3 linked regions of the Tribolium castaneum genome follow. The main gene of each other region encodes a partner of the protein of the gene in region 3 in a complex. Links are inferred from orthologs where the notes say so. Each region holds a gene or a part of one and is shown on either strand. Other genes may lie near its edges.

The links. The genes of interacting proteins can lie anywhere in the genome.
Region 1: eIF3b (region 3) and eIF3e share a complex: the UniProt entries of both Drosophila melanogaster proteins name them as parts of the eukaryotic translation initiation factor 3 (eIF-3) complex. The link is inferred for Tribolium castaneum from reciprocal best matches to the Drosophila melanogaster genes eIF3b and eIF3e.
Region 2: eIF3b (region 3) and eIF3i share a complex: the UniProt entries of both Drosophila melanogaster proteins name them as parts of the eukaryotic translation initiation factor 3 (eIF-3) complex. The link is inferred for Tribolium castaneum from reciprocal best matches to the Drosophila melanogaster genes eIF3b and eIF3i.

What each region holds. Positions count from the first base shown.
Region 1 is NC_087394.1:22,552,402-22,556,533, reverse strand, and holds the start of eIF3e (eukaryotic translation initiation factor 3 subunit E), read right to left. Parts: upstream 2,802-4,132; 5' UTR 2,714-2,801; coding exon 2,624-2,713; intron 2,576-2,623; coding exon 2,297-2,575; intron 1-2,296. UniProt on the Drosophila melanogaster protein: Component of the eukaryotic translation initiation factor 3 (eIF-3) complex, which is involved in protein synthesis of a specialized repertoire of mRNAs and, together with other initiation factors, stimulates binding of mRNA and methionyl-tRNAi to the 40S ribosome.
Region 2 is NC_087394.1:748,470-751,932, reverse strand, and holds eIF3i (eukaryotic translation initiation factor 3 subunit I), read left to right. Parts: upstream 1-1,325; 5' UTR 1,326-1,450; coding exon 1,451-1,453; intron 1,454-1,569; coding exon 1,570-1,763; intron 1,764-2,141; coding exon 2,142-2,925; 3' UTR 2,926-2,962; downstream 2,963-3,463. UniProt on the Drosophila melanogaster protein: Component of the eukaryotic translation initiation factor 3 (eIF-3) complex, which is involved in protein synthesis of a specialized repertoire of mRNAs and, together with other initiation factors, stimulates binding of mRNA and methionyl-tRNAi to the 40S ribosome.
Region 3 is NC_087399.1:10,630,223-10,633,534, reverse strand, and holds the end of eIF3b (eukaryotic translation initiation factor 3 subunit B), read right to left. Parts: intron 1,388-3,312; coding exon 1,085-1,387; intron 883-1,084; coding exon 788-882; 3' UTR 513-787; downstream 1-512. UniProt on the Drosophila melanogaster protein: RNA-binding component of the eukaryotic translation initiation factor 3 (eIF-3) complex, which is involved in protein synthesis of a specialized repertoire of mRNAs and, together with other initiation factors, stimulates binding of mRNA and methionyl-tRNAi to the 40S ribosome.

The DNA.
Region 1 (4,132 bases), on a different chromosome or scaffold from region 3:
TATAAAACTGGCCCTTAATTAATTAAAAAATAAAATAAATATTAATAAATAATACAATGTGTTTTTAAATAATTCTCATCTAGTCGTCTGTGAATTTCTACAGTAAAATCAGAAAATACCGCTTCATATAAATAATGATAGGCATTTAGACATCGAATATTACCATTCTCCATTTATTAAGGCTCCAAATATAAAGTAAGCTTAAAAAATAAAAGTGTTTTCTTGCACGGTATAATAATTTAGTTACATTTTAACGAAGTTTTTAAAACAAATTAAATGAATTTGCCAACTGACAGACTTTACATTTATTAACAGAGGATTCAATTGAGCAAAGCGGCACAATTTTTTACATGTAAACCAATTTCAAAGTTAACTGGATGAGAATCATTTAAAAACACATTGTATAAAATATTAAAATTTAATAAATCGAAATTTTGAGGTTAGCAACAATTTTATTAAGAATTTTTTGCTTAAAATATCATTCATTTAAAAGACACTATTGAAATTATAAAATTAATAATTAATTAATTACACGGAATAATATTTTCAATTTTATTAACATAATTTTTAGTAATTCATGTTTATTTAAGGAAATGTAAAAAAAAATAAAAAAAAATCTTTGAGAAAAAAATTAAGTATTTAATAGAAAACACTGATTTTTGTGTGACTAATTAATATGCCAACATTCTTTAATTGCTTTTAAGTTTTCATTAATTTTTGTTGCATTATAAGTGATAACAAATTCTGTAACTGACTGAACAATTTGCCCCGGAAATCACCGGAAGATCAAACCAGCTAACCCTTCTCGCATTAGCACAAATTTACGGAAAAAGCAGGATTATACCTTACTTGCCAACTGCGAAATTAAATTAAACAAAGAAGTTTACAGAATATTTCAATTACAATAAAATTTTTATTAGTGATTAACTTGACATTTGCCAATGCATTTTAAATGACAACTTAAACTCGAATTAGTCTAATTCGGAATTAAATTTTAATTTCGCTGTCTGTAGACCGACCCACAGTTTTTTTTTATTTTATTAATTAAATGGTAACAACTTCTAATACTAGTAGAATTAAATAATTTTTTTGAATATTAAATATTTTCGTAACATCAATAAAACTTCCTTGGCAGTTTATTGTTTTTTTATTTTTTTTAACAATTACTAATTCATTAATTGCATAAAATCGCAATCAAATTACATGATATTAAAACGCTGCAAAAGTTATTATTTCTTATGTTATTTTAGAACACCTGAAATACTTAAATGTTTTGTGCAAAAAGTTCGTAAAAATTTTTCTTAAGAATTTTTTGCTTATAGCATTATACGCCGTTGATCCAGAAAGACACTGCAGAATTAATTAAATTTCGATTAATCAAGTTTTTATATTTTGTATTTTATAAATACCTATTATTATTATTTGCTTAACTAATATCATATCAGAAAAATTAAAACATTATATTAAATATTTTCGTTAACATCAATAACACTTCCACGTCAGTTTATTGAGTGGCTAGCAAACAGCTCTGATTTAAATATCATTGAGTCTTTTTGGCACAAAGTAAAAAGGTATCCTACAAATCTTCCTCAATAGTTGTTGAAAGATTTAAAAAATAAAATAGAACATATTTGGAACAATAAAACGCCAGAATTTTGTAAGGGATTCGTTAAAAGTATGCCAGCGCTAAGTTGAGTCGTCATTGAAGCCAATAAAGATTGAAATTACAAAAAAATCTATCTTTTTTTTGTTCAAACAATTAATTGTCAAATATCATTCCTATTTTTCTTTGTTTTAATTTCATGTTAAATATAGTGTTTTAAAGTAGTGTTTAAGTAGGTCATAAGTTACAAATAAAGGTATTTCTTCAATTTATCCTTCTTTTTTTAAAATAAACATTCATTAGCTTGACGTGCATTTTCTTTGCAAAAATGTATTCGTCCAAACACACTATTCAGAAATGATTGTTCATTGCAAGTCACTTATGAAATTTGAACGTAATGTGCCACTTAATTTAAATTGTGAATGCCGTCAAAAGCGACAAAACCGTCAAATTAATGCAAAAAAACTTCAAATCTAAAAACGAAAGAGTACACAACAAATTTCACCGAGATGTAAAACACAAATGACGGCAAACCCCACACTTGAGAAATGCAAAAAAGTGAGTAAAAAGCTAAGATTTGACAGAGATGAGAGTATTCAAACACTACAATAATGATTTGAACGAAGCGGAACATTGTTTTTGACTTCCATAGTCGACTGGGTGAACAACCATTTTTGAACACATTGTATTTACTTTGTAATCCTTTGAAAGGAAATTAATCAAAGTTTTCGAATCCCTCATGTTTTCCATATTCTTCATGACCTCATCGTCGGCCATAATCTTCAAAATTGGTTGCACTTCCTGTTGAAGCTCCTGTAACTGAGCTACAACGTGTTGACGCCTTTGCTTCAGATCTTCAGGAACTTCTTCATTTGGATACAGCTGCTTTCGGATGTCAATAGCATAATCGATCATGTTGGTCTTGCTCAAAATATCTAATTTGGCTTTAAGCAATTCCGTTTCATCGTAAATCTACGAAATTCGGAATCAACCGAATGAACATAACCTCAAAAACTGTACCTCTTTAGCCGACAAAAATTCCAACAATGGAAACACCAAGTGCCGATCCAAATATTGCCCCATGCGGGAAGTTAAATCAAATTGGGCCATTTTATACCGTTTTTATGCAAAAACTAACAAGATTTTATAAAATGTGACACATATGGCGGCACCCTAGAATAACACTTTTATAGAAGCGGAACATAATGGTTGGCAATGAATTCCTAGCTGGAGCCATCTAGCCGCATCATCACGTACTAAAAATGGCGCGAATTAAATAATCCCGATTACTTTGTATTTTTTAAATTTTTGCTCACGTCAAAATGATGTCAAAACCTTATCAAATACAATTATTATGAAAATTTTCTAATTGTATTTGAAAAGGTGGATGCACAAACAGCACAAATAGAAGAATTTTACCCAACATGACACGATCTAAACACATTTAATATTAAAGATATTTATTAAATCCATTAAGTTTACAAAACTAATAGTCGTCACCGCATCGATGATAAAGACATACTTGCAATCAGCCAAACTGGCACCTTATGTTAGCAACTTCTGTCTATGGGAATCTCCTCACAGTGTGACTCACTTGCGGTTCGCTCTCAAAAAACTCACTTTTGGAAAAAACGCACCTATCAATGAAAACCTTCTGGAGCTCATTACTACGTTATATTCTTGGAGATCATGTTGTTCCTAACCGATAGTAGGCAATAGTCTAACCCAAACACGACACCTTGAACCACTATCTTAATAAAACTTTGAAAAATTAACGTGATATAAAAAATAAACTCAAATTTTGCTGACGTTTGTGAAATTTTTACTTGTCAGCCGCGCATCGGTACCACGTTTTTCTTCAGTAATATGAAATTTTAAATCCGCCAATAGGATTTCTTTTTCCCGTAAAACACTAAGGCCATCTATCCGCATCATCAGTAAATCCTATTTCAGTGAGCACAGCTTCCTTGATTAATGAAGGAACTTTCCCTTCACACGGCTGGCCGCATTGCTTAGTTCCATGGCATATTTTTGTTTCTGAGAGGGAGCCACTATAAAGTAAAACAATTCTGACAGTTCTAAGGTTAAGTGTTGTCACACTGCTGTCAGTGCAGAAGATTTCTAAGGCAAAACGCATTAGTATTAGCTGTATAGTTGTAGAAAACGTATTCTACAAACATTTGGCACGTGTTTTTACTGTGAGGAACCAAAAGCGCATGTTGCCATGTGAGTGACCAAGAGCCTATGCCAAGAGCGAACTGCGAAACACAAAACGAACGTAAAAAGCGTCATACAAACTTGAACATTTTGCCGAATGGTAAACAAACATTTTTATGCTCACGAAAATGATCAAAAGAGTGTTGGAACGCATTTGCAACCAACTGTACAAAATGTACCCATTAGTGTCGAAATGCTTTGCATTTCAAATTTTGATTAAAACTTGTGGAAAAAAAATGAAACTAAGCTTTGTCTTGCCTTCCTGTTGGCAAAATTTTGTATAAATCTTGTGCAAAAGAGGTTGAAAACTTA
Region 2 (3,463 bases), on a different chromosome or scaffold from region 3:
ATTTTTTTTCATTACAAATTGACGCAATTGTATGTAAATATTTAGAGTATTGTGTTATTTTACAATAAAATTCTTGTTCAGATTTTAATTGGAGTTTTTTTTATTAAGCAAGCAAAAACTTTGGCTTTAACTTTTAAAATGTGCGACTTGATATAAAGGTAAGTTAAAGTTGGATTAAATCTTTAGTTTCTTTGTTTTTTATTACACCCTGTACATATTTCGAAAAAAAGTGTTTATCCCCATTTTGTTTCTTTAGTTTACAGTTGCTGAAATCAGTAGGACGCGTTCTTGCAAAAATTAACAAAGTCGCTACACGGGTAGGAGATTGAAAAAATAAAGTTTGAAAAGTCAAGGAGTTTTCAAAAAAGAAAAAAAGAAAAAAAATTCAATAAGATTACAAGGAATATTTGTCCCCACTTCATTTTTTTACAAGCCAAGGCCCTACTGGAGCGCTTTATTACTAGCAAAAATATTTATTATTTACACGGTAAAAGCGTTGCGAAAATTAAGTTCTAAAATTCAAAATAATTTTGAAAATAAAAAGAAAAAATCTGTTAGGTTTTAAAGAGTGTTTACCTCCACTTGATTGTTTTACAGTCGAACACTATCCAAGAGCTTTATTTCCTGCAATAATAAACAAAATTGCAGTACGGAAAGCCGGTTGAAAAAAATGAAGTTTAAAAAGTAAAACATTTGCAAAAAAACAAAAGAAAAACATTCAGTAAGCAGAATGTTTGTCATCAATTAATTTTTTTACAGTCGAAAGTCTCATGGCTAGGCTATATATTCCTTGCAGAATTGAACAAAATCAATAAATGGGAAGGGGGTTAAAAAATAATGTTTGAAAAATTAAAATATTTTCCAAAAAAAAAAGAAAAAAAAATAGGTAAGGCCCCAGGGAATATTTATCCACACTTAATTTTTTTTACAATCAAATTCCCATCATCAGGCTTTGCTTCCTACAAAAATTAAAACACGAAAAGGGAGTTGAAAAAATAAAGTTTAAAAAGTTGAGATAAAAAAAAGATTGTAAGGTCCCAAGGTCTTAAATTAATGGCTCTACTTAATTTTTTTACTGCCAAAAGCCCTTTATTTCATACAAAAATAAACAAAATCGCTACAATGAAATATTATTTTAAAAGATTAAGTTTGTAAAGATAATAATTAAAAAAAAAAATCAGTAAAGGCCCAAAGAGTTTTTAATCAATAATCACAGTTAATTTTATTACATATTTTTCCCAACTGCTAAAAATTGCCAAAATGGCAATAACGCCATTTATCAGTTAATTTTGACAATACGGTTATTTCACCTGAGCCGGCACTGACTTAACCCCGCCACTGCACAACCCACCATGACAGTTAATTTTGACACCTCTTCTGTCAAACAACCGTCAAAAAAAGCGTGTTTAATCATTAAAATCCTTAAAAAAACGCCCAGTTTTTTAACAAAATGGTAAGTAACGACTCACAATCAATCGAAAAAAACGCCCCACAACCGTAAAACATTACATTACCCCACAATTTCACCCACATATTGTTCGCTTAAATTTAACCTCAAAACCCCCACAGAAACCCCTTCTACTCCACGGCCACGAACGTGCCATCACCCAAATCAAGTACAACCGTGAGGGCGACCTCCTCTTCTCCTCCTCAAAGGACAACAAACCCAACGTTTGGTACTCCCTTAATGGCGAGAGGTTGGGAACCTTCAACGGCCACCAGGGGGCTGTCTGGTGCATCGACGTCGACTGGACCACCACTAGGTTAATAATAATAATAAATTTATTGCTGCAATAAAGCAAATGGGTGCGCGATAAGGTTGCCTCAGTAGCGAATATACAGGGTGCCTCACCTAATACTTTTGAGCCTGATATCTCAGTTATTTGTCAACGTATTTTTATGAAAATTAAAATGCAGATATTTAGGAAAGTAAAGATTAAAATCCAATTAATGCAAAAACTGAAGTCTTAAAATCGTAATTTTAAAATTAAAATTAATAAAACAGATATTAATCTCGAAAGTTTTAGGTGAGACACCCTGTACAAGTTTTGATTAATTTGCTTTTACTGATTTAATCAAATACTACTTAGACCAGAAATATCACCTATTTTGCTACTTTTTAAACTATTTAAACTTTATAGGTTCCTGTCAGGTGCCGGTGACAACACCCTTAAAGTATGGGACTGTGAAACGGGCAAAGAAATCGGGAACATCTCAACCAATTCATCAGTCCGAACGTGTCTGTTTAGCTACTCGGGCAACATGGCAGTGTACACCACCGACAAAGCCCTCAAACACAACTGCGAGATCTTCATTATTGACGTCCGTAACGTGGACGAAAGCATCTCGCACGCCGACCCCATTTTACGCATCCCGATTAAAGGTTCCCGTGTTTCGTCAATCCTATGGGATAACCTGGACGAAACTATAATAACCGGGCACGAAAACGGGGATTTGATCAAGTGGGACTTGAAGTCAGGCAAAGAGATCAGTTCAACACGTGAACACGAACATTTAATCAACGATATGCAGTGGAATAAAGACGGGACAATGTTTGTGACAGCGTCCAAAGACCACACAGCTAAACTGTTCGACGCTGCTGATTTGATGTTACTGAAGACTTACAAGACAGAACGGCCGGTTAATTCAGCTGCCATTAGCCCCATTTTTGAGCATGTGGTTGTGGGCGGAGGGCAAGATGCCATGGATGTGACAACCACGTCGGCAAGGGTTGGGAAATTTGACTCGAGGTTTTTCCATATGGTGTTTGAAGAAGAGTTTGGGAGGGTTAAAGGGCATTTTGGGCCGATTAATAGTGTGGCGTTTCATCCAGATGGCAAGAGTTATAGTTCAGGAGGTGAAGATGGTTATGTGAGAGTGCATAATTTCGATTCGTCATATTTTGAGTATAATTTCGATTATTAAATGGATAGCTGGTATTAATAAATTTTTTAATAAAACAGTTTGGTTGTTTTTGTTCCTAGATTACGTCCAAGTCTAAGTTTTCGGAGCAATGATTTTAAATAATGATTATACAGGTGCTCCATAACTTTTTTTCTATGCAAGCTATCAAGTTGAATTTTTTTGAAACGCTAGGTTTACTATTGTAAGACTTATTAGGCACGTTCTAAAAATATTTTAATCTGTATACAGAGTATTCCAAAATAAAATACCTAACTATGTTCTGTTTTTTTTTAACAAAAACCCGGATTTTATGGATTTATCTGTCATAGCTTTTTGACTTTTTGACAGAAAATACACAAATAAAGCCCTTGTTAATGTGTTTTTCGTTCGTTTGAAACTGAAATTTAATTACGAAAATAATTTTGGTAAATTTTATTCCGGCGCTTCCAACTTGTGAAATGTAACTAAAACATTCGAAAAAGCAAAAATAATGAAATTTTCAGCTCCGTATTACTGCATTTAGTTACGTTTTGTGTTTTTTGAGACTGAAAAATTACTA
Region 3 (3,312 bases):
TTTATTATTATACATCCAATTCACAAAAGCGCATAAAAAACGTGCTGCTTATACTGTCATGCCTCCATCCCCATGTATCACAATTTCAGCCAAAATTCAATTTTACAACAAATCGCATCGATTTTCCACCACTCAAACTCGCACCACAAACACATTTTTCCGAAATCGTGCAACACAAGGATATCGTGTATCCAAAAGTATCTTTTACGCGCAATAAAACCGATCAACCTTTTATGTATTTTGTTTTATTATTTTCTTTAGCAGCACGTGTCCCGGATCACACCGACAACTTGATACAGCATTTTTATATTGGCAGCAATGCACCACTGCTTAGTAAATCATAGTGACCCTACTTCTGCTGACATTTTTATAGACTTGTATATGAGAAAATTGATGACAACACTGCTGGAACGAACCTAGAATTTTATATAGTCCTTAGACAACAAATCATAAAGTTACGAAAAGGCTAGATGTCGCCACTTGTGGTGAGTTTAGGAAGAGAAAAAAAAACATTTGTCATATGAAAATTTATTTTCCAAATAACCAACAGACAGTTGAGATTAGTATCGTACATGGTTAAAATTGACCCACCTAAATAGAATAAAAAATTAAAATATAATGGCAGCTGACAACAGAAAAAGATTGAACGAGAACCTACTAAATAAGATAAAACACAACAAATTGGTGTAAATTTTCTTATTTAAGGCTGTTTATGAATTCACAGTCACTATAAATCCCGTGCACACGTTGAATGCACACAGGAACCAACACTTCAACCTCAATTGTCTTAGTCCAAAATGGTTGTTTCCTCTTTAATAAAGAATTCTACAATTTCTTCTTCTACGTTTTGTGGGTCGGCATCTAATTCATCGGTATCAATATCTGGAAAAAATCAAGCGTTAAAAAAACTGCAAAACAATTAGAATTAAACATTGTCACATGTTTTTGCAGTTAAATAAACTGTAACTGAACGCAAAAACATGTTTTAATTTCCCCTGAGCGTATAACTAACCACACTACAAATCAGCGTGTCAGCAAAAAATCAGGGTAACTAACAACTACAAAATCAAATTAAAACACTCACTATTTCTAAGTTGAAGTCGTCTTTGCTTATTCTCGTTATATTCCTTAATCCTTTTACTTCTGTATTCGTTAAACTCCTTCATTAAAGCGGCACGTTTTTCGATAAGTTCCTTTGAAGCTTTCGATTGTCTCATTCTGTCTTTGCTCTCAAACTGTGGATAATACTTTTTGAGGTTCTTTTTGATTTCTTTCTGCTTTTCTTCAGACAATAAAGTTGCAGGTCGTGGACGCCACAACAACTGGGCGAATTTTTCCAAATTAACACGTTTCAGGATTTTTCCTTGGAACGACCAAATCCAATAACCTGAAAAGAAAAATTCTCCGATAATGATTTTGAAATGAAAATATTTAATTCTCAAAATCGTTCACGAAGTAGACCAATTTTCAATATAAACGAAAAAGGTCCTTGTAAGTAAATTAAGTTAGATTAACTTTAAGAGGATTTAGATGAATTAAAATTTGTATGTTTTTGTGTCGGAATCTATAAAAAAAAAACATAATAACATCAACCTGAGTTATTATTTTTTTAACATTTTTTAAAATTTATACTTGTATTGTAAAATAAAGTTTTTTGCTAAATTTCAACAAAAAAGGACGAAAAATTAGTTATTCAGTGCATTTTTTAGTCTGGAACGTTTTTGTTTCACAAGGCGTTGTTTAAGATCATTCAAAAAATCGCCAAAGTGTTATTTTTGCTTTTTGATCCATAGTTTTCCTGTAATATTTTGATAAACATATCCAAAAAAAAATCCTAAATTAGATAAAAACGTCATTTTCGTGTGTTCAAAGAAATTTAGAACCATTTTCAGCAAAAACCGGAATTATTAGTTCGATAAAAAACCCAAAAAATCACCAAGTTATGTCTAAAGGAGTGTTATCTTTTTGTTTTTTAAGCATGTAAGTATATTAACCGGGCCGAAATAAGATCAAAAATGAGATTATTTTTCTGATTTCAAGTGTCAGTCAGAAACGTGATTATTTTGGGTCAAAAATTATTCGAAAAAATTGCTGAATTTCCCCTTTTTTAAGTCAATTTTTAGTTAAAATTACATTAAAGTGGCGTTAATTTTATCCTTTTTAGAAAAGAAACCACCATTTTATGTCAAAAAATGCATTACTTCTGTTTCTTAATGTTTCAGCCCATTTTAGAAAAACCCCAATTTTTTCGAAAATTTAGACATGTTTTTCAGCAATAAATGCAACAATTTCTCGAAATTGCGCCAAAAACAATTAACTTTTTTAAGGAAAAGGCTTGTGAAATTTCAACACCGCACAGTGCGGTGCCTCTTGAACAAATAAAATGTTTAACGGTAAAACAAAATTAACTTTGATTTGGCGTATTCCAGTGCTTAATTACAATTTAACAGCTCCTAAAACAAACTTGACCGATGAAATGTGTCGAGTTACCAACTTTTTTCAGGGTAACTCAGGCGCTGTTAAATGTGTCTTCGTCAAACCATGCAATGTTGTTATTTTCTGTGATCCTCTTTTGTCTGTTTTAATGAATTTGTAATTATTTTATACGAAACATAAGTGCTGTACATGTCTATTTTATCTGTAAGAACAATAAAAAATATGAAAAAACAAAAAAATCACCTACTTTTCAGATAATAATTAATAATCATACGCGCAGTTAAATAAAATCTTAGCAATGGGTGTAGCTAGAAAAGCTGAAAATATAACCCATTTTCTATAAAACACTAAAATGTGCAAGCCTTGAATTCTTTGATGAAGGATTGCATCCAGAAACACGAAAACGCGAGCACAATAGAAAATACAAAAATACAGATATACACAACACTCCATCCGATTTTACCTTTATTTCGGTCATTCCTTTTTTCTACAATGTCAGAAACTTTCATATTTGCAATAAAGGCCATTTTTTAATCAACAAGTTCTAAATGATCAAATTTTATTTAAATCTTCGATCATATCTTCACTTTTTTTTACGTAATATGAATGTTTGGCTTGTGTCTCGACTTCTTTCTCTCGTTTTTTCAGTCGTTTAAATTTTAAATCTGTTTAATTTTTTACCTCTATTATTTTATAATCTTCGATAGAAGACGCGGTTTTACTTTATTAATTGCTTAATCAATTTTCCTTAAGACATAAATATCATGATTAGGATCTTTCAAACTAATCTTTAGTTTATATGATTTTATTATTTTTTATTTTGTTTTCCGTAACCTTTAGTTATCCAATAGATGTCATGTATCCATGTTCAAGTAG